Linked DNA regions of Notamacropus eugenii. The protein of the gene in region 3 interacts with the protein of the main gene of each other region in a biochemical or structural test. Links are inferred from orthologs where the notes say so. Each region holds a gene or a part of one and is shown on either strand. Other genes may lie near its edges.

Region 1 (7,712 bases), on a different chromosome or scaffold from region 3:
AGTGAGTGTGTCACACATTGTCGGGAAGTCCAGCACACGTCAGCAGGAATATCTGCAGGTAATGCCTTTTTACAATACACTATACTGTTACATGACAAAATACTGCATCATCAAAATTTCAATACAGGAAAAAAAACATAAAAATAATAAATTATTAAATTTAAGATGCATCATTTCAAAAAAAATTATATCCTATATTTTATTATATCTTATATCCTATATTTTTTTGAAATGATGCAAACATCAAAAACAAACAAACAAACAAACTCGTTAAAAGGTAAAAGAAAGTAGATTTCCAGGGTGGCATCGAGTAATTTTCTTTTTTTTTGAAAAGTTAGTGGTAGGACAAACAAGTTGGGGAACTTCTGCCCTAGTTGATCCAATACTTTTTCCAGTGTTTCCTCATGTTCTTCTAGAGTCTCCCCAAAGACAATACTGTCAACAAAAAGGACCTCCTCTGACCCTAACAGCTGTGCATTTTACCCTGATTTCTCTCCTGCATTCCAACCGCCTGTCAGACATCTTCACCTGGGAATTGTTTAGGCTTCTTGAAAACAGAACCCACCATCTTCACCACTTAGCTCACATCTCCTCCAAACTTCATATTCCAGAAGTTGAAAAGACTTAAATCCAGGACAATCCTGAAGGGGAAGAGGAAAAATAATGTGTGGCCTGAGCTGAGGAGTATGACCAGAAAGAGGGAAAGGGCAGTTTAACTTAGCCTGACCTTAGTGAATGGCAGACTCTTGTGTGGGTGGACGAATGGTCAGTCTTCCTTGGTAAACACTGGCTCCTTCAACATGCCCCATAACAACTAAGTCACGATTAAGATACAAACAGTGCCCTAAGAGTTAAAAAAAAATAAGGTTGCTTTTCTAGTACTTTGTGAAGCCCCTAGTTTATTCTGTAACCTGAAGGCACCCTAAAGTCCTTTTCCCAATTATCTTGAACCTGTACCAAAAGAATTGCTTTTGTCTCCCTTATTCTGTGTTCCTTGGGTCCTTTAATTTTTAACCCATATCCTCCTGCCCTGTCCTTAAATCCTTAAACCATAAAACTTCCCCCTTACCCATAAAATTTCCCCCATCTTCCTTACTCATCTTCCTGTCATCCATCTTCCTCATTATGTCCCTAATCTTCAACCCCCATAAAAATCTCTAAAACTACATCATCATTCTGAAATCTCTTCATAAGCATAACTTGAGGCCTGAATATTGAGACTTTACTTAGCCATCTTGCTAAGGAGCCCCGTGATGCTCTTTTCTTCTTTTTTTAATTTTTTAAAATTTTTCTTTTTTAATTATTTTACTTGTTTTCAGTGTTCTACAATCACTTCCATATATCTTAGATTTTTTCCCTTCCCTCTCCACTCCCTCCCCAAGACAGCATGCAATCTCATATAGGTTCTACACATACATTCCTATTAAATACATTTTCACCTTAGTCATGTTGCATAGAAGAATTAAAATGAAGGGGAGAAACCATAAAACAAAATATAACATAATACAAAAGAAAAAGGTTGGCTTCATTCTGTGATCCAATTCCATAGTTCTTTCTCTGGATGTTGAAGGCATTTTGCCTCAAGAACCCACTGGGAATTTTTTTAGGTCCTTCCATTGTTATGAAGGACTAAGTCTACCAGAAAAATTCCTCGCACACTGTGGTTGTTGCTGTGTACAATGATCTCCTGGTTCTGCTCCTTTCACTCAGCATCAGTTCATAAAAGTCTTTCCAGGCCTCTCTGAAGTCTTCCTGTTCATCATTTCTTACAGCACAATAGTATTCCATTACATTCATGTACCACAACTTGTTCAGCCATTCCTCAATTGATGGGCATCCTCTTGATTCCCAGTTTTTGCTCACCACAAAGAGAGTGGCTATAGATATTTTTGTACATGTAGGACCCTTTCCCATTTTTATGATCTCTTTGGGATACAGTCCTAGAAGCAATATTGCTGGGTCAAAGGGTATGCACATTTTTGTAGCCCTTTGGGCACAGTTTCAAATTGCTCTCCAGAATGGTTGGATGCGCTCGCAGCTCCACCAACAATGAATTAGTGTTCCAACTCTCCCACATATTCTCCAACATTTATCATCTTCCTGTTTTGCCATGTTAGTCAATCTGATAGATGTAATGTGGTACCTCAGTGTTGTTCTGATTTGCACTATGATGCTTTTTTCAAGTTAAAATAAAAAGTTCCTATTGGCTATAAGTGAAGGTCTAAGTGAATTCTTTCACACCTGAACCTGCTCTACCAACTCCAAACCTCCTCAATCCCTCCTTGTTAGGTGTCTGAGTAACCAAAGGCTTCGACCGAGGCTACTGCCCTAATTTGCTTCAGCCTTGGTGGCATGTTAGAGAAGAGTAAGGAGGAGAAAATGTGACTAATAAAGAGAAAAAGACATTGGGGGGCATTTGGTCCCCTAATTCAACCATCCATGACTATATAGGCATTAATAATTCTGCTCAAAGGCCCCAAGTGGATCCCTACTGATTCAAGGATAAAAATACCAATAGTTAATCTTGATTTATAAAACCCTTCAGAGCCTGGCTTCCACTACCTGTCCAGACTGACTTGTATTCCTTCCTTTCCCCTACTCTCTGCTCCAGTCAAGGAGGCACTATTCCATCTTCCATTTCCCTTCAAACCTTCCCTTCTTACCTGAGCTTCATACAATCTCTGGCTTCTTCTTGGTTCAGAGACCATCTCCTACAGGAAGTCTTTCCTGATTCTGCCAGTTGCCAGTACTTTCTCCCCCCAGAAGTTATCTTGTGTTTACCTATATGCTACTTTCTTCTTCCCACCCCAAGAGGAAGAAAAAGGAATAAGCATTTATATAAATTGGATGCCCTGCTAAGCACTTTTAAGAAATATCTCATTTAATCCTCACAACAATCCTGTGACGTAGGTGCTATTATTATTCCCATTTTACAGGTAAGGAAACTGAGGTTAAGTGACTTGCCTAGGGTCATATAGCTAATAAATGTCCAAGGTCAGATTTGAACTTGGGCCCTCCTGACTCTAGTCCCAGCCCCTCTATTCAGTCTCATATTAATTCTTGGAGGCTGGGATTGTTTTGGTTTTTTCCAGTGCTTAGTACACAGTAAGCATTTAATGAAACTGAATTGCCTAAATAAATAAATTGAATTGCCAAACCAGCAAGCCAATAAATAGTGTCTATGATAATAGTGTTCTAAGTGCTGAGGACACAAATAACAAAAAGAATGTTAGTGCCTGTGCTCTGGGAGCTTAAAATCTAAAGGAGGTAACACCCAAAAGACTGCAGGAAAGCCGGTAGAACACAGAAAGAAAGGGAGAGACACCAAAGGGTACCAGGGGCTGGGGCATCTTGTTCGTGGACTTGAAACCTGGCAGGGCAGCAGATACAGGTAGAGAGAACCGCCTTATTGAAGGGTCCCTTTCCATAGGTCATAGCATGTGAAGGTTAGTACTGTTTGGAAGGTTTAGAGTCACCCTGATAACTGTCTTCAGGTGTGGTGTCTGAAGTACTGATGCATTTCCTAGGAACTCGTCTTGCTTTATCTGTCCCCAGAAGGAAGATCTGGGGTGAAAGTCATCAAGTGCTGTCTAAGGGTGTAAGAGGCTGTGGATTCCGCTGTACCGTCAAGGATGTTGCCAGGAAAGTCCTTGCTCAATGGATCACGGATTCAAAGCTGGGAAAAGTCCCAGAAGCCACCTGCTCCAATCCTCTCATTATACTTTTGAGGAAACTGAGGCTCAGATGTGTTATGTAACTTGTTTGAAGCTGTGCAGGTAATAAAGGTGTTAGAGCTGGTAGCTGTACCCAGGCCCTCGATGTTCTTTCCACCCATCCACACTGGCCAGCTTCCGTGGGGGGGCTTCGAGACTCAGCTCAAACACCATCTTCTTCAGGAAGCTTTTCTCTGCCCTCCCAGCTATTTTGCATACAGGGCATCCCAAAAGCCTTGGTGCAAATTTTAAGCTTTTGAAAAAACCTTGACTAAGTTGTAAACAGCTATTTGCAAGTTGTCTTCCTTGTTAAAATGTGAGCTCGTGGGTGTAGAGCATCGTTTCAAAGAAACCTGAGAAGACTTACAGGAACTGATGCAAAACGAAGTGATCAGAACCAGGGAAACCACACGATAACAACAGCACCACAGTAGAATTCAACGGTGAAAGATTTAGGAATTATCGAAATGACCACTCACAATTCCAGAGCACTGCCTCATAATGAGAAAGATTACGCATCTGCACCGAAAGGCATCGGTCTCAGGGGACAAAGTTTGTTGTGTTTTTTAACCTGGCTAATGTGATCATTAGTTTTGCCTGACACGCATCTATCTGTAACTTGTGTTATGTTTTTCTTGCTTTCCCAGTGGGCTGGAGAGAAAAATTAGAAACTGAAAATAAAACAAAATGGAATTTTTAAAAAGTTACATGCCTGTAGATGGACTCTCTCCAAGCTACTCGATGGAGATGGGCGGGTCTCCTAGGTGATACTTAGTATCCTAGCCGGCCTCCAGGGCTGATATTTACAAAGCCGACCTCTCAGCTGAAATTTACAAAGCTGACATTTACAATCAAGTGGAGCTCAAGAGCTGATATTTACAACCAAGTATGAGCCCCTTCGCCTCCCACAACACACACTGGGCCAGGCGGACTGCCTGGACAATTAGCCGTTATCTAGCAGGGGAATCAAAGAACGGAGGGTCAGAGACTTCAAAGGAGCTTTGCGGACCGAAAGGCTCTCCAGGAAGGAGAACTGAGCGTCAGGGCTAAAAGGAGCCTGGGATTTCAACCCACGCTCGGTCGCAGGCAAAGGGCACGGCGTGCCCTCTGAGTGTGCGCCCCGACGCTATCAATAAAGTTTATTTTAATCGAAATCAGGTGGCGCCTCCGGCGGAAAGGGACACACGCGAGCTCCAATCCCAGGCTGTCTGGCTTTGGGGTCCCGCCCTTGCCCCGCCTCCCAGAGCGGGAAGGAGGGAAGCACGCGCACACCGCGCCCTCCCATTGGACGGTGTCGAGGTCAGGGGAGGGGCCGACCCGTCCCCTCGCTATGGCTCGCCGTTGTCATTAGACCGAGCCTCCGTCACCGGTAGAGGACACGGGCAAGATGGCGACGGGGCTAGTGCGAAGAGGGCTCACCGGCTGCGGCCAGCAGGTAGGCGCGACCCCGAAGAGAAGACACCCCTCCCACGCCGGCCCCGGCCCCTCCACCCCACTGACTTTCGTTCTCTCTCCCTGCCCGCCAGGTGTCCCGGTTGCTGCGGAGGCGCTTCCACCGCTCGGCGCCCGCGGCGCTGCAGGTACGGGGTAGGGCGGCAGGGGCCGCGGGGCGAGGGGGGGGGGGGGGGGGCGGAGAGGAGGGAGGCCGGGGCTGCGCCTGCGTATTAGACTCCTGCGTGGGGGTGGGGCGCCGTCTACTGGGCTGCAGTCCCGGACCTCTGCCCGACTGGGGGCGGGGCCGCCCGTGGAGGAGTGTAAGCCCGTTGAGGGCAGGCGTGTTTGCCTCCCGAGACGGCTAAGGATCCCTTCGTGCCCCGAGGTGCTTAATAAATGCTCCTTCCTTTCTCTCCACCCCCAAGGGGCCCCCCCAGAGTTAGCATCGCCCCCCGCAAGCGGCTCGAGCCTGTAGAAAATTGGAGAGTGTTGAAAACTAGCGAACACATATAGAAAGCCAGAAAACGTAACCCCAGGGTCCCCAGGCTTCCCTCTTGCACCCCCCTTTCCCCAAGGGAGCCTCAGCTTTACGAGGAAAGGCAGACCCCCGGTCACAGCCGTCCCCCATCGCCCACTTTTCTGGGCTAACTTGGCCATGGCCCTTTTCCAAATCCCCCTCCCCTGTTTCCGGTTCTTTAATCATATGTTCCACCAAAATAGGTTCTAATCAGTTTAATTTAATTAAAAGCAAACATTCTGCCCCGGATTCCCAGGGAAGGAGCCGGATAGGCCCGGGATGGACGACTTTGTCCCCACGCTCTGGCTGTAGCTTGGATTGTGTCTGCAGGGGGATGCGACCTTGGCTTGGCTTAGGGGCGGTTTGGGGTCGTTCCTGCGGTGACCTTGGCTCTCTGGGTTGGCCCACTCCCATTCTCCCGGACCGTCCTGGACTGGCAGGGGAGCCCTGGGAGGGGCCTGGGCCGCTTCGGACCGAGCGCCCTCCCGATGCCACAGGTGACCGTTCGAGATGCTTTGAATCAGGCCATGGACGAAGAGCTGGAACGGGACGAGAAGGTCTTCCTGCTCGGAGAGGAGGTTGCCCAGTACGATGGCGCCTACAAGGTAATGACCAAGGATTCGGGGTGCCCCCGGCGGGCCTGGCCGCCCCGCGGTAACCGGCTCTGCCTTCGTGTTCACTGCAGGTCAGCAGAGGCCTGTGGAAGAAGTACGGAGACAAGAGAATTATCGACACCCCCATATCCGAGGTAGGGCGCCCGCGGGACAGACCGTGGGGAGGCGGGAGTGTGGCTGGCCGAGGCCTGCCCTCCACACCGAGCTTTTGCTTTTCAGATGGGCTTTGCCGGGATTGCCGTAGGGGCAGCCATGGTAAGTAAGGCACATGGGTCATTTTCGGCTTGATCTTAAATTGTTTTAACGTAATGCAACAATGGTAGTTGATACTTTTTTCCTTTTCGTTAAGCTACTTAGTTATGTTGGGTTTTTTCCTAATTTAACAGGCAGGATTGAGGCCAATTTGTGAATTTATGACCTTCAATTTCTCTATGCAAGCAATCGACCAGGTTATAAACTCAGCTGCCAAGACTTACTATATGTCAGGTGGGCTTCAGTCGGTGCCCATTGTCTTCAGGGGACCGAATGGTGCTTCCGCTGGGGTGGCTGCCCAGCATTCCCAGTGTTTTGCAGCTTGGTATGGGCACTGTCCTGGATTAAAAGTGGTCAGTCCTTGGAGTGCAGAGGATTCAAAAGGCCTTATGAAATCAGCAATCCGGGATGACAATCCCGGTGAGTCCTTTTTTCCTTCTGATTTACAGAGAATCTTCCGTAGAATTTTATAGTTGGGGAAAACCTTAGAAATGAGAGTAAAACATGCCCATTTTAAAGGAACTGAACCTTTAGCTAGTTTTAATCAGATGACTTGAAGAGAGAAACTAGTTTTGTTTTTAAATCTTGATTTCTTCCTGTTTGAATGTGAATAATATCCTGACGTTCAGAGAAAACGTGTGTTTGCCCCTGTCCTGGCTTGTGATCCATAGCATCTCTGGATTTCTGACATGCTTTAATTTTAATAAGCAGAAGAGCCGGATTAGCTAAGATGAATGTAATATAGACAAGCCATTATTAAGCTTAGCTGTCTTTTAAAACTACAGCAGTTGAGATTTCCTCATATAAAACACAGCTTTTTTAAGGGAACTCTTCTAGAGGTTAATGTCATTGATTTATATTTAATCTACATGAGTAGTTAGTCATCCTTAACACTCCCCGATACTTGTTTAAAAAATAGCCTGAAACAGACTTGAAATCCCTCTGATCTTTTTGGACTTCACATTGACTTAGAAAACCTCAAATTAACATTCTGTGGGCTATATTTTTTATCTATTTTGTTAATTTCCCATACACATTTTATTTGAGCTCTGGCAGGGCTCCAGAGTTTTGCTGTCCCCCATGAGCTGGGCACTTCCCGCTTTCCCCCCTCCCTTGTGGCATCCTTCAGTTCTCCTAGGGAGGCGTTGGCCATGGGGTGGGGAGGAGAGGAGGCCCAGATGA
Region 2 (7,086 bases), on a different chromosome or scaffold from region 3:
TTGAATTGAAGTGAGGCAGGACTACGCAAAGTCATCAGTCTCACTGTCTCCTCCAGAGTCACTGCAGTCCAGTGGTAAGGCAACTGGTTGTGGCTCTCATGGTTAAAGAAGGGAAGAAGAGAGAGAATTCTTCTTCTGCAGGAGTCTCATTCCACAACTAATACAAACTTTGTCTCCTGGAAGTCCCAACTATTTTGTACAGGTTATCCTTGGGTCAGTCCATCAATCAGTCAGTGGAATTGACTGTTGATTCACTTGGGTATGCGCACCTTATAAAGGGATCAGTAGTTAGAGGCATCTTTAGAAGTTGGTTTATCACAGAACTTGAGAAATGGAAGCGGCCTCAGTAGCCATCTAGTCCAACTTATATAAGAAAGGAAGCCCCACAAAAACAGCCAACAAATGATCACCCACATACCACCCAACCCCTGCTTCAAGACTCCAAGGAAAGAAAACTATCACCTCCCTAGGCCACTCATTCCATTTTTGGAAAGTTCTCATTGTTAAGAAGTAGAACCCTTCACTAACACCTTGTGATTATATTCTTGGCTAGGGGTTAAAGGGTTGGTAAAAAAAACCAATTCCACTACACTTAAGATTTTTCCCCCTCTTACATCAAGCCAAAATTCTTTAATTTCTACTCATTGCTCATAGTTCTGCCCTATGAGATCAAACAAAACAAATTTGTCACCATTGGTTTGTGACAGTCCTTCAAATGTTTGAAAAAAAGCCAACTTGTTCCCCCCAATTTTTCTATTTTCCAAGCTAAAAGTCCTAGTTCCTTTAATGGATCCGCATATGATTAGTCTGTAGTTCTCTTACTGTCCTGGTTCACTTTCCGTGGGCTGACAATACTTTGCCAATGTTTATCCTTCTTTCCAAAGACTGGTGGGACCAAGGACAATACAATACTCAAGTGTGATCTGATTGAGACAGAGGAAAGTGCCTTCATATATGTATATATGTGTGTGTGTGTATGTGTGTTTCCTTGTGTGTAAAATGAGTTGAAGGAAATAGCAACCACTCCATTATGTATATACATACATATACATATACATACACATATGCAATGTAATATAATATATAATATCTTACATATATATAATATATAGTCATATATTGTCTTATTATTAATATTATATATATTATAATATATATATGTTGCCAATATAGCCCTCTTTATATTCTTAATTGTTCAGCTCAGGCATGTCCAACTCTTTGTGACCCCATTTAGGGTTTTCTCAGCAAAGATATTGAATTGTTTGCCACTTCCTTCTCCAGTAACTTTACAGATGAGGAAAGTGAGGCAGAGTTGTGACTTGCCCAGGATCAGACAGCCAGTATCTGAGACCAGATTTGAACTCAGAAAGATGAGTCTTCCTGACTCTAGACCTGGCACTCTATCCACTGTGACACTTGGCTGCAAAATTCTAAATTGGATGCTTATATAAGAGGAATTAAGTGGAAGCCTCTGAATATGATGAACTTCCATAACATATAGAACATCTGATGAGCACTACTTCAGGGAAAACATGGGCATGTCCATTGATATTTTGAAAACACTTGGGGAGATGATTATCAGATACTCTAAAAGATACCTTGTAAATTCTTCAGGTTGATTGGAGTTCTAGTCAAATTGATCAGAGAACTCCTTCAATCAGCTCCTTCCCAAAGCGATGGGTTATCTGATTGATTTGTGCACTTCCTCCAATTCTCTACCAGAATGGAGAGAAACTCTTCCACTCTTTGAATGCTGTATGATTTCTAGGCCCATAGGTTTAAGCTGAAAGAACTCTGGAGGCCATGGAACCCAACCCCCTCCTTTAACAGATGAGGAAAGGGAAGTTGACAATGGTTAAATGACTTGCCCTGGATCACATGGCAAAGGTAAGATTTCAATCTAGATCTCCCTGATTCCAAGTCCAATGCTCTATCTCCTACTATGATACTATTCTCTCCCCTCCCCCATCCATCTTCCAAAGAAGATTCATCCACCTGAAGCAGTTTTCCTTTACTATAACATTCAGTGGGCAGCTGGGTAGCAAAGTAGATAAGAGACTAAATCCTGGAGTCAGGATCACCTGAGTTCAAATCCAGCCTCGGATACCTACTAGCTGTGTAACCCTGAACAAATCACTTAACCCTGATTGCCTCAAAAAAATATGGTATAACACTTAGGACATAATCCTTCATTAACACAACCTAAAATCCCATTAGCTTCTTTGGCTTTTGCTTAACCCTGCCGACTCATGGTTGAGCCTGCTGTCCACACAGGCCTGTTTCTCATGGACTATTATCTAGCCACATTTCCCAATCCTGTACTCATTCTGTTGTTTGATTTTAATTCATGTAGGACTTTACATTTATCTGTCTTAAATTCCACATTGTTCAGTTTCAACCCCTGACTCCAGCCTATTGAGATATTTCTGAAACTGATTCTCTTATCTAACATGTCCCTCCCAGCTTGGTGCTGTCCAAACATTTGATGAGCTTGTTCTGGGGAAGGAAGGATTCGTGTTTGGGAGGGCTAATTTCAAATAAAACCGGATCCTCCATTGTATCCTTTTTCCATACTCAAGTTCACAGAGCTCAAAGTCCCTTCCTGAGGAAACAGGCTCAGAAAGGTTAAGGAGTTATTACACAAGTAATCGACTATAGGTCTTCTGGTAGTTAGCTAGGGGGTGCAGTGGATAGAGCCCCAGGCCTAGAGTCCGAAGACCTGATTTCAAATCCAGCTTCAGACGCCAGCTATGTGACCCTGGACAAGTCACGTAATCCTGTTTCCCTCAGTTTCCTTATCTGTAAAATTAGCTGGAGAAGAAAATGGCAACCACTCCATTATCTTTGCCAAGAAAATCCCAAATGGGGTTACGAAGAGTCAGACACAACTAAACAACAATAACAACAAACTTCCGGTAGTTTGCTGGCCTCTAGTGCTCCGAGGGTTCTCTAAAGTGCAAGGGGGAGCCAACCCTGAAGGTCAAGTGCAAGAATTACAAGGCTTCACAGATTCACCATCTATTGAGCTGGGGTTCTCTTGAAGAAGTTTATATTCTAATGGGGGAAAGAGGACGCATAAAAAGGATACATTGTACATCTTCCCCTAGTCTCTAGGCCAGGCCCCCGTGAAGGCCGAGTCTGTGGGAAATTTCACTTGAAACTTCCATGCTCCTCCTTGTACCTCTGGTGGTCGGCCTGGCACGTTCGGGACTACGCACCTGCCAACCCCTCCCCTTGGATACTACTTCGTGATACCACCTGTGACCACGAGGGGGCACCGAATTGCATTTTCCTTGAAATAGTCAGGGTGACCCTGAGGAGTGACGTCGGGAGGGGGAAGGAGAAACCTACACATAGCGGAGAGACGGGGTGCGGGGGTGGGGGGGGAGAGGGGAGTGTAGGTGTGCGTGCATGCATATTATGTAATGGGGTAAGGATTCCCTTCACCACCCCCAAAAGCAAAAGCCTAAAGTGGAGCGGGATGACATCTCCAAAAGCTTAGAGGGGGTGTTGAGTTTTAAGGCCCGCCCGGGATGCGCTTTTCTTAACGAGAAAACCAAGTGTTTGCACGGCATTTTCATCTTCCTGAGTTCCCAAGGGAGCCAAACAAGCCCCAATGAATCAATTTCTACCACCTGCAGGCCTCCTTCCTTGCAAACGTGCGGCTGAGTCACAGCCTGAAAAACCTCCTCCCTTGGGCCTGGAGGCGTGAGCGCAGGGCTGGAGAGGGGCCTCCCACGTCCCACCCCCGGGAGGGGGACATGGGGAATCAGGGGATGAAAGGGCTCCCGAGAGCTCTTCCCGGGAGACTCGGGGTAACCCATTCCCAAGGCTAGGAAGGTTAAACGACCTACGGGGAGGGGACAGGATCTATGGGTTGGGCTACGGGAAGGGAAGGGTTAACAGCTTCAGCCTCGGGGGCGGGATCGAAGAAGGAGCTCGGTCACAACTGGAGAGGGACCCTGGCCAGAAAGGGTTAAGAGGGTGGGCGCCGTGGGAAGCCACGTGCCGAGGCGTCTTCTCATTGGTCCGACCAGAGTTGTTTGTGTGAGAGGACTGGAGGCGGCCGGGGGCGGGGAGAAATGATTGGCCAGAGGAGCGTAGGCCGCTAAAGCGGTGTTGAAAGGGGAGGGGAGGAAGGAGCAGGCGAGGTGGCTGGCCCCGGGCGTCGGGAGCGGGAGCTGAACGCCTCTGGGCCCCGGAACGGGGCCTCCACCTCCACTGTCACCGTCACTGCCACTGCCACCGCCACCATGCGTTGGGTCCGGGCGCTGCTAAAGAACGCGTCCCTGGCCGGGGCGCCCAAGTACATCGAGCACTTCAGCAAGTTTTCCCCGTCCCCGCTGTCCATGAAGCAATTTCTGGACTTTGGTGCGTAGGACTTTGGGCGAGGAGGGGTCGCGAGAGCTTCAGACTAGGCAGAGGCGATGGGGAGGCAGGCGAGGGCTGCAGGCTGGCAAGAGTTAATGGAGAGTGAAGGGGGCTGCAGGCTGGCAAGGGTTAACAGAGAGTGAAGGGGGCTGCAGGCTGGCAAGGGTTAATGGAGAGTCAAGGCGACTCCAACCTGAGAAAAATTAATGGGAAAGTCAAAGGGGTTCCAGCCTGGGTAAGGTTAATGGGAGAGTCAAAGGTTGATGGACAGTCAAGGGCTTCAGTCGGGGAAGGGTTAATGAAGAATCAAGAGGACTGCAGGCTGGCAAGGGTTAATAGAGAGAGAGAGGCCGGGGCTCCTGGCTGTGAGAAGAAAAGAATTGGGCTCTAGTCCGGGAGGAGTTAATGCCAAGGCTGGACCCGGAGCTGGCCCGGGGCTTGAGTCTGAGAAGGGTAAATAGAGAAGGAGCCGGGAAAGTAGGAGCCCACCCTAACAAGGTTTAAGGAGGGGGCTGGGAGAGGAAGGGTTATTGGTAAAGAACTCCAGACCAGGGCTAGTTTATGGGGCAATCTGGAGAAGGTGAAAACAGGATGGTCAAGGTTAAATGAGGGATCTGTGAGTAGGGAACTAGGAATAAAAGGGTTTAAGAGGCGAATTAGGACTTGGGAAAGAGTTGGAGATGAGAGGTGATGGTAGCAGGCCAGGTTGATAGAGGAAGGGATTCTGAGCTGCAAAGGAGTTTCTTCTGGGAGAATGAAGATGTGGGAGGGAGGGGGAGGCTGGGGAAAGGAGTTGGAGAAAGACTAGGGAGGGGCCCAGATATTAAAAAGGATTATTTGTTGGGTAGGGGTGTCTCCACACATGGTATCCAAGGTTAAGGTGGGTTAGGGAACAGGAAGGTGGAGGAGATAGGAGGAAAGATGGGGACAATAGGCAGAGAGAGCCGGGCAAGGGGAGGGTCAATGACATTGCTTCTAATGGAGTAGTGGGGTACCTAGGTCTTGTGCAGACAATGATAGGAACACTGAGGGGTAAAAATAACCGAGGTCTATAGATTTATGAATAGGACAGGAGAGAATCCTGGGATATGGGACTTTAGAGGAGGATTCTGTCATAAAGGACAGAGGGCAGGGCACAGGAGTTAAAGGTTAGAGGTCTTCCATTAGTAACTGAAGAGAGGTATTAGGGGCTAAGGTTAGGTATCGGCCCATTCCCCTACCCCCACTGCTTTCAAAGGCTGCCCATCTAAACAACGACATTTGAATATCAAAGGCTCCCAAGCTGTTTTTGAGGGGCAATGAACTATAACTGAGGACAGAAACACCATTAGATTCCTTGTGGGGTAGAGTAGAAGAGGGGAAAGGAAACCACCTCTTGGTATCCCCCCCATCTTAGGATCAGGATCACCTTGTACCAGTCCCCGTTATGATGGGTGGGCCAGTTAGAGGCTGTACTAACTGGGCTCATGAAATGGGTATTGTGTGTGCCTGGATCTATCCGTTGGGCACTTCTTTGGTGACAGCTGCGGGGCGAGTGGGGAGGGAGGTCTTCTAGATCTCTGTAGGGTTGGAAAGATAGTGCCTGGCTCTGGTTATGGTCTACATCACTGCAAGGGGAGGAAGAGTACAGCGCTTGGCAAGGACCTAGAACCATAGGGATTGTGGCAGCTAGACACCTGCTCATAGGTCTTGATTCCTCTCTGCCATTCCTTTATCGCCTTTGCCCATCCCTAGTCACTTCATTCTCAACCAAAGATCTGAGGATTCATGCTCCCCAAGTATGAGGGATGATCTGGGAGTTAGGGAAAGCAGAGGAAGATGGGATCCCAGTTCTCCCTTAGACAGGTCCTAAGGCAGGTGATCACTGTACATCTGGCCTCAGCAGGGAGGAGAACCTAAGCCAAAAGTGATAAATTTTAGATCTATTCCAGCAGAAACAGTGAAGCAGGAATAGCTGAGCAGTATCGTAGTATAGCAGAAAGAGTCCTTCCTGGTTTAGCAGTGAGAGGATCTGAGTCCATATCCTGCCTCTGAAACCCAAACCTGTTTGATGTTATACACATCATTTAACACCCTTGGGCCTCAGTTTCCTCATCTGTAAAATTGGGGAGGCGGTTGGATTTGATGGCCTCTGAGGGCCCGTCTAACTCCAGACCTATAATCTGTTTCCTTCCTCTGGCTTGCCTCTAATTTCTCCCTGCCTTAACTCAGCTTCTGTTGTTCAGGAAAGCCAATGTTCTAACCCAAGGACTCTGACCCTTGAGAATCTGAAAGCCCTTCTCTCTTTGGAACAATACCCTGGAATTGGGACCCTGTTACATTTAATTTTTTTCCCTATTTCATTCCCTGCTACCCAAGTTACTAGCACCTGGTAGAGAAGGAAAAAAGAAGAAACTTGTTGGCCTGGAGGAACCTGGGTTACAGTAAAATAGATGTAATTGGAGTAAGGCTGGGGAGTCGCTATCAAGATGGGATAGATGGGTGGAGTTTAGGGAGGGCAGAGTAGGAACGCTGGATTGGAAAGCAGGAGACCTGGGCTCTAATCTAGACTTTGCCACTAGCTGTGGGAATTGAGGGAAGTCTGTTCTGTTCCAAGGTTTTCTCAGTTTCCTTCTCTGTAAAATAAGGGGACTGGATTAGATGGTCTCTAAGTGTCCTTCCATCTCAGGCAATCAATCTGTAGCTTAACAAACACTTCTTAAGTATTTCCTATGT
Region 3 (7,968 bases):
TAAAACAAAGGAACTACAGAGCTTCCACTACAAAGTAATGGGGATTAGTTGTAAATGTAAATTCCCCACCTGAATGCAGCACCAATAAACATTTAATAACCCCACATTTACTGTCTGCTGAGCACCTTGTTAGGCCTTAGGGAAGATAGTTTACATAATAGGACAGAGTCCCAGCCACCAGTGGGCTTAAGAGTCTTAGAGCGTAAAGCATAATCAAATGAATGTTGAACTTGAGGTCAAGAGATCTGGGTTTGAATCCTACCTCAGACATTTAACTAGTATGAGGGAGGATGGTGTTTTACAACCCTGAAAATTCAATGTAATTTCAAATTCAGGTAGAGGTGATAAAAGATAGCCTTTGAGATACTTTACAACTCTCACATGCTATGTTGGGTAGGAATTTTATAGGCAAACGGAGGGAGAAAGTCCCATTTCATCCCCAGTATACGGAACAATCAGAGCAAAAGTATGGAGACATAAGAACCGTGCATGTTTAGGGGATAGAAAGTTATCCAATTTGACTGAAATGTAGAGGAGGGACATGAGAGCTATTTCAAGTACTTGAAGCTGTCTTCTGGAAGAGGAATTAAATTTGTTTTTGCTTGGCCTCAGAGAAGCAGAAGTAGGAGCAGTGGATATAAGATTGAGGAGAAAATTTTGGCTTAAGAGAAGGGAAAACTTCTAAAGGTTGCCTTATGAGGAAATGTATTCCCCTTCATTTGAAGTCTTCCAACAAAAGCTAGATGACCTACCTGTTTGGTATGCTGTTGAGGATATTCTTGGTCAGGTATGGGTTGGATTAGATGGTCTATAAAATCCTGCTCACCTCTGATTCTGTGCATGGAAGTGATTAATACAAGATAAGGCAGGAAAAGGAAGCTAAATTATGAAGAGTCTTGAATGCCAGATAGATGTCTGAACTCTCCCTGGGTCTCACTGACAGGTTGGGTCCCCCAGAAGTAACTGTTATTCCTCTCAAGGTTCTAGGGACAATCCCATGAGTGATTATCATTCCAAATGCCAGCTCATAAGCCCCCACTAGTATGCTTCCCCTTACAATCAATTAGTAGGTTCATTTAGTTCTTTAGCAAAGGCATTTATTCAAATAGCATAGCAAAAAACAGTAAGTAGTCACAAAGCATTTTTTTCCAATATAAAGGACATATTCTTCCACAAATACACTCAGAAATCAGGAAGCTGGTAAGAGTGGACATGAACTTAAAAGGTGTGTGTGTTCATCCTTCGTTGCCAAAGAAGACCATGCCATCAGAGAAACGATGACATGACTTGTACTTGTGAGGGAGGGTTGTACAGGTTGCCAGCCTCACTTCTCCTCCACAGCCAACTGAATCCAGTGACTTGATATTCCTCGGGATGACTAGAGATAACCCAGGATGAGACAATTGGGGTTAAGTGACTTGCCCAAGGTCACATAGCTAGTGAGTGTCAAGTGTCTGAGGTGAGATTTGAACTCATGTCCTCCTGACTCCTGCACTGGTGCTCTATCCACTGTACCACCTAGCTGCCCGTTGAATTTAAAATACAGTGGTAATGAAACACAAGTACTAGGGAACCCATATGGCTAGGCAATTCACTATTCCAGAGCTTCTAGGCCTCATTGTCCTTTCTTCAGAGGGTCATCACAAAGTTAACTTCTGGGCCTGCTCTTGAGGGTGTATTCTTTTTCTTCTTTTAGTCACTACTGTCTTCAGCTGGAAGAGTATCAGCATGCTCCTTTCAGCTGGAGTACTTTAGAACTCTTTTTAACTCTTGTGATCGTTCTGAAACTTGGACTTATTCATTTAGTGTTATCATGAGTCAGGTGGATTTCATAGGTCCAGGAAAAAGTAGGACCTACAGAAAGGAGGGCTGTTGGATTCCTGACTGAGGACAAAAAAACAGAAGCCTCTGTGGGTCCTTGTGAGCCTTCTTCTAATGGCCAAGCCTCTGCAATTCTTTGAAGTTGATTAAACAACCTTTCCAATTGTAAGGATGTAGGAAAACTTGCACACCTCTTTTTTTCTAGATGAAGAAACTGAAGTGGAGAGAAGACTTGCCCAAGGCCACATATATGTAACTCAGGGCCTTTTTTCCTTCATTGTTGAGGGCCAGGGTGGAGTGCTGTTGACAAGATCAGGAAAGATCTTTGGGGAAACTGTTCTTTGAGACTGTGCTCATTATCATGCGGAATGGCTCTCCACGCTCCCCAGACGTTGCTATCTCCGTGAGACAAACATGGGAACTACAGAAAACAAGGGATATGTAAAATAGATGTCCTGTAGGCTAACAGTCTTTAAAGACAATAAGACTGGCCAAATCACTGGGACAGGAGACGAGCAGAATGTCACATAGACTTGCAGTTTCTGTCTATATATACCCTAACCCTCGGATCAATAAATGGAATTGGTCTATCTTTTCCCGCCTCCCGTGTCTCTTTTCTTCACCACTTCACCGAGCTGTGTAGGGACGCGGGCCGTCTGCTACACTTCATCAACTTCCCAACCTGAAAGTAATTATATAACCCACTGCTTTATAATTAATATGATTAAATAATATTTATAACTCTGGGCGTACAGGCATTAGGGTCTATCTTATGTGCTTCTCCATAACAATAATAACTGATGTCTCTCTAAGGACACAGCTGACCTGCCAGAGCTTAGGCTAACAAGACATCAGATGTAGGACTGTTTTTATACCACCTGATAAAATACTTAATAGGCTTGAACCTGAGTCCATTAGAACTGCAGGACTGGGAAGTCCTTTGTCTCCTCATACAGTCCTCAATGTGGCCCACCTCTTGCTATCAATGGACTTTCTTCAGTCCATAGCAAACTTTTTATCTGTTCCCAGGGTTAAGTTCCAGTTGTTTCCTCCATTAAGGGCTATGTCTATGTATCAATCTGTGAGGTGTGTCTCTACTTCCTCAACTTGGCCTCAAATTTGCTCAGCCTGACTCCACTTTCTGGATGGGGTGCCTTCTTCACGGAGAGTAACTATGACTTGTGCAATCTTTGGCTCAAAAGGCTAACTATAATACGAGATTCTCTTCCTGTTGGTAGAGACTGTTCAATACCCTGCTTATGGAGGCCTTATAGACCAAGTTGGTGAGAGCTGGAGGCTTTTCTGCTATTCAACTTCAAAAGATACCATGATTCCAATCTTTTTTAACTAGATAACTGCTGATTAGGGGAGGAGGGAAAACACTTCATTCTAACCCTGGCACTGGGGATCTCACAGAGCAGCTGCTCCACAGATTTGATTACCTCCTACTAAGGAACTGCTAGATGATTTATCTAAGGGCCTAAGGGCACCGACTATTTATAATCTTCTTGTTGATTAAGGAAGTTTTAGTTACTTTTGGTACAAGGAAAACTTTTAACAAAACCTTTACATCAGTAAAACGATCCATCTCGCTAACATTCCTTCAGGCTCTATATCTTATGACTTTTTCTTATGATAATTACTGAATCAAACCTCCCAGCACGACTTCTGAATGGAATCGGTTACACAATGGAAATCCTTTGGTTACACAATAGTAACCTTAGGCAGGCAGGTGGGGTTAATGGTCTCATGTAATGGTTCACCAAGTATAGAGTAATTTTAGTAAGAGTCCACATTCTTTCCCCACTTCTCTGGCCAGGAACCCTGAGGTTGCGGGCGCCACCTGTCGGATGCTGGGGATCCTTAACTGAAACTTCTGTATTTGAACAAGAGGCACTGTGTTACTGAGGAAAGGGCACTGCATTTTGAGTCAAGGGTCCTGTTCTATACATAAATCACAAGTGGGAAGGCAGGGGGATTACAAACAGTCGTCCCCAGGGCCCGAGTGGTTCACTAGGACAAACCCACAAATGGAAGACAATCCAACAATTCTGGAGTATCGTGGGAGCAATATTGCTAGAGTCCTTGGGGAGCGGGTCGTTACTTAGTCACAGCAGGAGCAGGTTCCAGTCTTTGGCTTCACTTCAGGTACACAGGCAGAAGGATGCCAGTGATTGTGAGCCCCGCAAGGTGTGATTGATCAGTTCAAGCTGCATTGTGGGTCTGACTCACAAGCTGGAAAAGGCAATTCTGCAAAATCTGATCGATTAGCATATTCATTACACACATAAAATTGATTATAAAAATCAGAATTCCCTCCACAGACCTGTTTTTTACTATTCCACCAATAATTTTGGGCAATTCCTTTTATATCTCTCCGTCTGATCAGCTATAATAAAAGGAATTTGTCGTTTAGTCTAGTTCAGCTCTTTGTGACCCGATATGGGGTTTCTTGGCAAAAATACTGAAACAGCTTGCTATTTCCTTCTCCAGCTCATGTTACAGATAAGGAAACTGAGGCAAGCAGGATTAAGTGACTTGCCCAGGGTCACACAGCTAGTGAGCCTCTGAGACTGGATTCAAGCCCAAATTTTCCTGACTCCAGGGTGGGCCCCTAGCTGCCCAGCTGTAAAGTACTGTATTAAAATCCGGGTTCTGCTCCTGGCTCCCTGCGTACCTTGGGTAACGAGGCACCTGGACCTCAGTTTTCTCACCTGTAAAATGGGACAAGACAACTTTTTTCCACTTCTAAACCTCTGACCCTCAGACCAGAAATAAGCGCTGCGGTCCTCACTCCTCTCTCAGTGCCCGGCGCGGCCTTGAGCGAGTCACTCGAGGGCTCGGTGCCTCAGTTTCCTTCTCTGAAAAGCGGCGGGCTGGGGCAGACCCTCTCTGGGAAGCCTTCCCACGTCAAGCCCGGACGGCAGCTCGAGCACGACGGCGGCCCCTCGGCCTCGGCTCACGACGCTTCCCCTCTCCGTCCCAGCCCGGGCCTCTCCAAGGCTCGCTTTTCCCTCGCGCACCCCGGCGCTCCGCCCCACGCTCGTCCTCCCCCGAACCGCGGCCGGAGGAACTGGGCGGGACGACTTGGGAGGGACTTCCCTCGCTCTTTTACGACAGTACCCTCCTTTACCGTACGGCGCGGCGCGGTTGACGGCGGTGTCGCACGGTGGTCGCGGAGGTCACACAGGAGACGACGGCGGCTGCGGCGGCGGCTCCGGCTCACGGGCGCAGGCTCTCGGTGGCACAATGTGGCGAGTGTGCGCGCGGCGAGCCCGGTGCGCGGCCCAGCGGACGGGGTTTGGGAGCCCGGCCGCAGCCGTGGCCCCGAGGGAGGGCCCTGCGGGGCTGGCCCCTGGCCCGGCCGCCACCCCTAGGCTCTCGCGTTCTTCCCACTGCGGGGCTGGGGCGCTGCAGGGCTGGGGGCCTGGCTCCGGCTCGGCGGCCGTGCCGCGGGCTCGGCTGCTGCAGCTGCAGCTCTTGGGGACCCCGGGCCGGCGCTGGTACAGCCTCCCCCCCCACCAGAAGGTGAGGCCGCCCCCCGGCCCCCAGGCCCTGGTCCTTGACCCGGGGGTCTCGGGCCTTCCAGGCCTGGGCCGGAGACCCCCTCCTCCCGGCGAGTCCTCCCCATCCTGCCCTCTCCCCACCCTCACCCCCACCCCGTCCCGGTGGCTGGGGGCCGGGAGGGGACTGCGTGACAGACTGGAAATGTCACCTGAGAGGTAGCGTTCCTGCTGCCAACTCCACAGGGACGGGCTCATGGCAAGGAGCTGGAGCGTCTCACCGGGCTTCCGAAGGGGGCCCCGGAGCCCGGGAGGGAAGAAGCAGTGCTTGCCCTTTCGAAAGCAGGTGTCCCTTCTCTTTTCTTTCCAGGTTCCTTTGCCTTCTCTTTCCCCCACGATGCAGGCGGGCACCATTGCCCGATGGGAGAAAAAGGAAGGTGAGAAGATCAACGAGGGTGACCTTATAGCCGAAGTAAGTAGTTTGGAGAGGTGGGAAACTGAAAGCATTCGGATCGGGGTGCCTCGGAACTAACTCGGTTGTCTGGGTGGATAGTCTGAAGTATGCCGCAGCTTTGCTGGATGTCTTTCATAAGTCTGTCGGTGCATGAATGACCAAGCTGATTTTTATCTGAGAAGTCTTTAACAGCTTCTTTGATGTCTTTACAAAGGTGAAAGTTTTATTTTCACTTGTGAACTTTTTAATGCCAAATTAAGGTAATAAACGTCAGTCTGGCTGTGAGTATTTGAAAACATCCCATGTCTTCTGTTTGAAGGTTGAAACAGACAAAGCCACAGTTGGATTTGAGAGCCTAGAAGAGTGCTACCTGGCTAAGATAATTGTTCCAGAAGGTACCAGAGATGTTCCAATTGGAGCAGTCATCTGTATCACTGTTGAAAAGTAAATACTCTTGATTTTATCTGCTTGAACATTTCCATGCGCAACAGTTGGATATTGATGTGTTTGAACCTAGAATTGAGGGATGGCTAGAAGTTACCTTTTCCTCCATGACTCACAAGGGTAATGAAAATGTCTATGTGTGTTTTCTTCCCACCTTAGAGCAGAGGATGTGGATGCATTTAAAAATTACACCCTGGATTCCGCAGCAGCAGCAGCCCCCCCCACCCCACAGACTTCCACACCTCCTCCCCCTGCTTCTGTGCCTTCAACACCTTCTGTTCAGGCTCCAGGAAGCTCGTATCCTCCTCATATGCAGGTAAAGTTTAACTATTGAACTTTCCCAAGAATTTGCCTTTTCAATTGATTATTAATTCCTTTACATTTGTGTGTGTATTACTAATCTTGAGGAAGCTTAAAAACTGAAGTGGTTTATAGTTAGGTCTTTCTGCAAAGATAAAACAGTTTCCATATAGGAGTAAATAACAAGCATGAAAACTCAAGCTGTACCCATACCTGGAGGGTTCCTTTCAACCTGATCTCTGCCTTTTAAAGTACTACCTCTAGGTGACACCTTTTCTGTGAAGCCTTCATTGAGTATGCTCATTCCCTTCTATTTATCTGTTTGTATACATGTTGTTTTTCTGGTGTCTGTTCACAGTCCCTTACACTTAGTGAAAACTGAGTGAAGTTTATTCCCACATGTGACCTTGGACAGCTCCTTGGACCTTGCTGAGCCTGAGTGTTTCCATTTGTAGATCTAGTAGTTTAACGCTGCCTTCTTCCCGTGTCAGGGACGTTGCAAGTGTAGTAAATTATAAACCCATAATCAATATTTTGTAGTTTTTTTTCCTAAACATGTTATAATTGAAATCCAGAGACATGTTTGTCAAGTGCCTTTCCTTTTCTTTGTTTGTGATTAATTATGTCCTCTAAATTTAAATGGGATGGTTCTAGTCTTTCAGTAACACTGATGGTTTAAAGTTAGGAAACTGACAGCAACTAATGTGTATAAATTTAAATGTGTAAATAAACATTTGTTTAGAAACATAAGACATTAAGGCCCTCTTACTATAAAGATTTTATGACTTTTAAACATTGAGTTAGGTCAGAGTTGCTTGAAATAAATCTAGTATCTATTCATGATAGATGTATCTCTCATGATAGAGATAAAAGATGGAAAGTATTCAGCAGTATCTTCCTCCTGAAAGTTGGTTCAAACCAATATATCATTTATATGGCTCTGTCATTTGCCACTTTGTAGAGATTTCCAAAGAGGAATTATTTCTATTTTTTGGGGGAGGATCATGCTCCTCCTTATCATACTCTGACATCCCCTTGCTATTACCAGTGAGAAACTGGTATATTCAGTTTAAGCTCGTGTTTCTTCACTCTGCATTGTTGTGTTCCCTTGAATAATTATGCCTCTTTTGTTATTTTCTCTTTTATGCTCAGACTCTGCATCTTAAATAATTCACACATTTTAAAAAATTGTTTTGTTAATCTTAGTAATCAGATAATGATGACAAGTTTTAGAAGGAAGATTACTTTTGATCTGAGTCACCTGGTTTGCTGTTTTTGGGAATATATGAATCGTTATTGTTGTGTTTGTCCTTTGCTGCCAAAGAAGACCATGCCATCAGAGAAATGATAACATGACTTGTACTTTGTTTTGAGTGAAGGAGGACTGTGCAAGGTCACCAGCCTCACTTCTGCCCTGGAGCCATCTGGATCCAGTGACCAGATATT

What was found.
Region 1: the proteins of DLAT (region 3) and PDHB form a complex in vitro, tested with the Homo sapiens proteins (2 studies listed by BioGRID and IntAct, with this or other methods). The link is inferred for Notamacropus eugenii from reciprocal best matches to the Homo sapiens genes DLAT and PDHB.
Region 2: the proteins of DLAT (region 3) and PDK2 form a complex in vitro, tested with the Homo sapiens proteins (2 studies listed by BioGRID). The link is inferred for Notamacropus eugenii from reciprocal best matches to the Homo sapiens genes DLAT and PDK2.

What each region holds. Positions count from the first base shown.
Region 1 is NC_092874.1:466,872,354-466,880,065, forward strand, and holds the start of PDHB (pyruvate dehydrogenase E1 component subunit beta, mitochondrial), read left to right. Parts: upstream 1-4,699; 5' UTR 4,700-5,100; coding exon 5,101-5,148; intron 5,149-5,239; coding exon 5,240-5,293; intron 5,294-5,410; exon of another isoform or gene 5,411-5,532; intron 5,533-5,994; exon of another isoform or gene 5,995-6,152; coding exon of another isoform or gene 6,153-6,161; coding exon 6,162-6,269; intron 6,270-6,349; coding exon 6,350-6,412; intron 6,413-6,497; coding exon 6,498-6,533; intron 6,534-6,664; coding exon 6,665-6,950; intron 6,951-7,712. UniProt on the Homo sapiens protein: The pyruvate dehydrogenase complex catalyzes the overall conversion of pyruvate to acetyl-CoA and CO(2), and thereby links the glycolytic pathway to the tricarboxylic cycle.
Region 2 is NC_092873.1:350,497,952-350,505,037, reverse strand, and holds the start of PDK2 (pyruvate dehydrogenase kinase, isozyme 2), read left to right. Parts: upstream 1-4,028; 5' UTR 4,029-4,253; coding exon 4,254-4,371; intron 4,372-4,727; exon of another isoform or gene 4,728-4,824; intron 4,825-7,086. UniProt on the Homo sapiens protein: Kinase that plays a key role in the regulation of glucose and fatty acid metabolism and homeostasis via phosphorylation of the pyruvate dehydrogenase subunits PDHA1 and PDHA2.
Region 3 is NC_092876.1:142,178,626-142,186,593, reverse strand, and holds the start of DLAT (dihydrolipoyllysine-residue acetyltransferase component of pyruvate dehydrogenase complex, mitochondrial), read left to right. Parts: upstream 1-4,955; 5' UTR 4,956-5,070; coding exon 5,071-5,349; intron 5,350-5,694; coding exon 5,695-5,796; intron 5,797-6,097; coding exon 6,098-6,222; intron 6,223-6,381; coding exon 6,382-6,538; intron 6,539-7,968.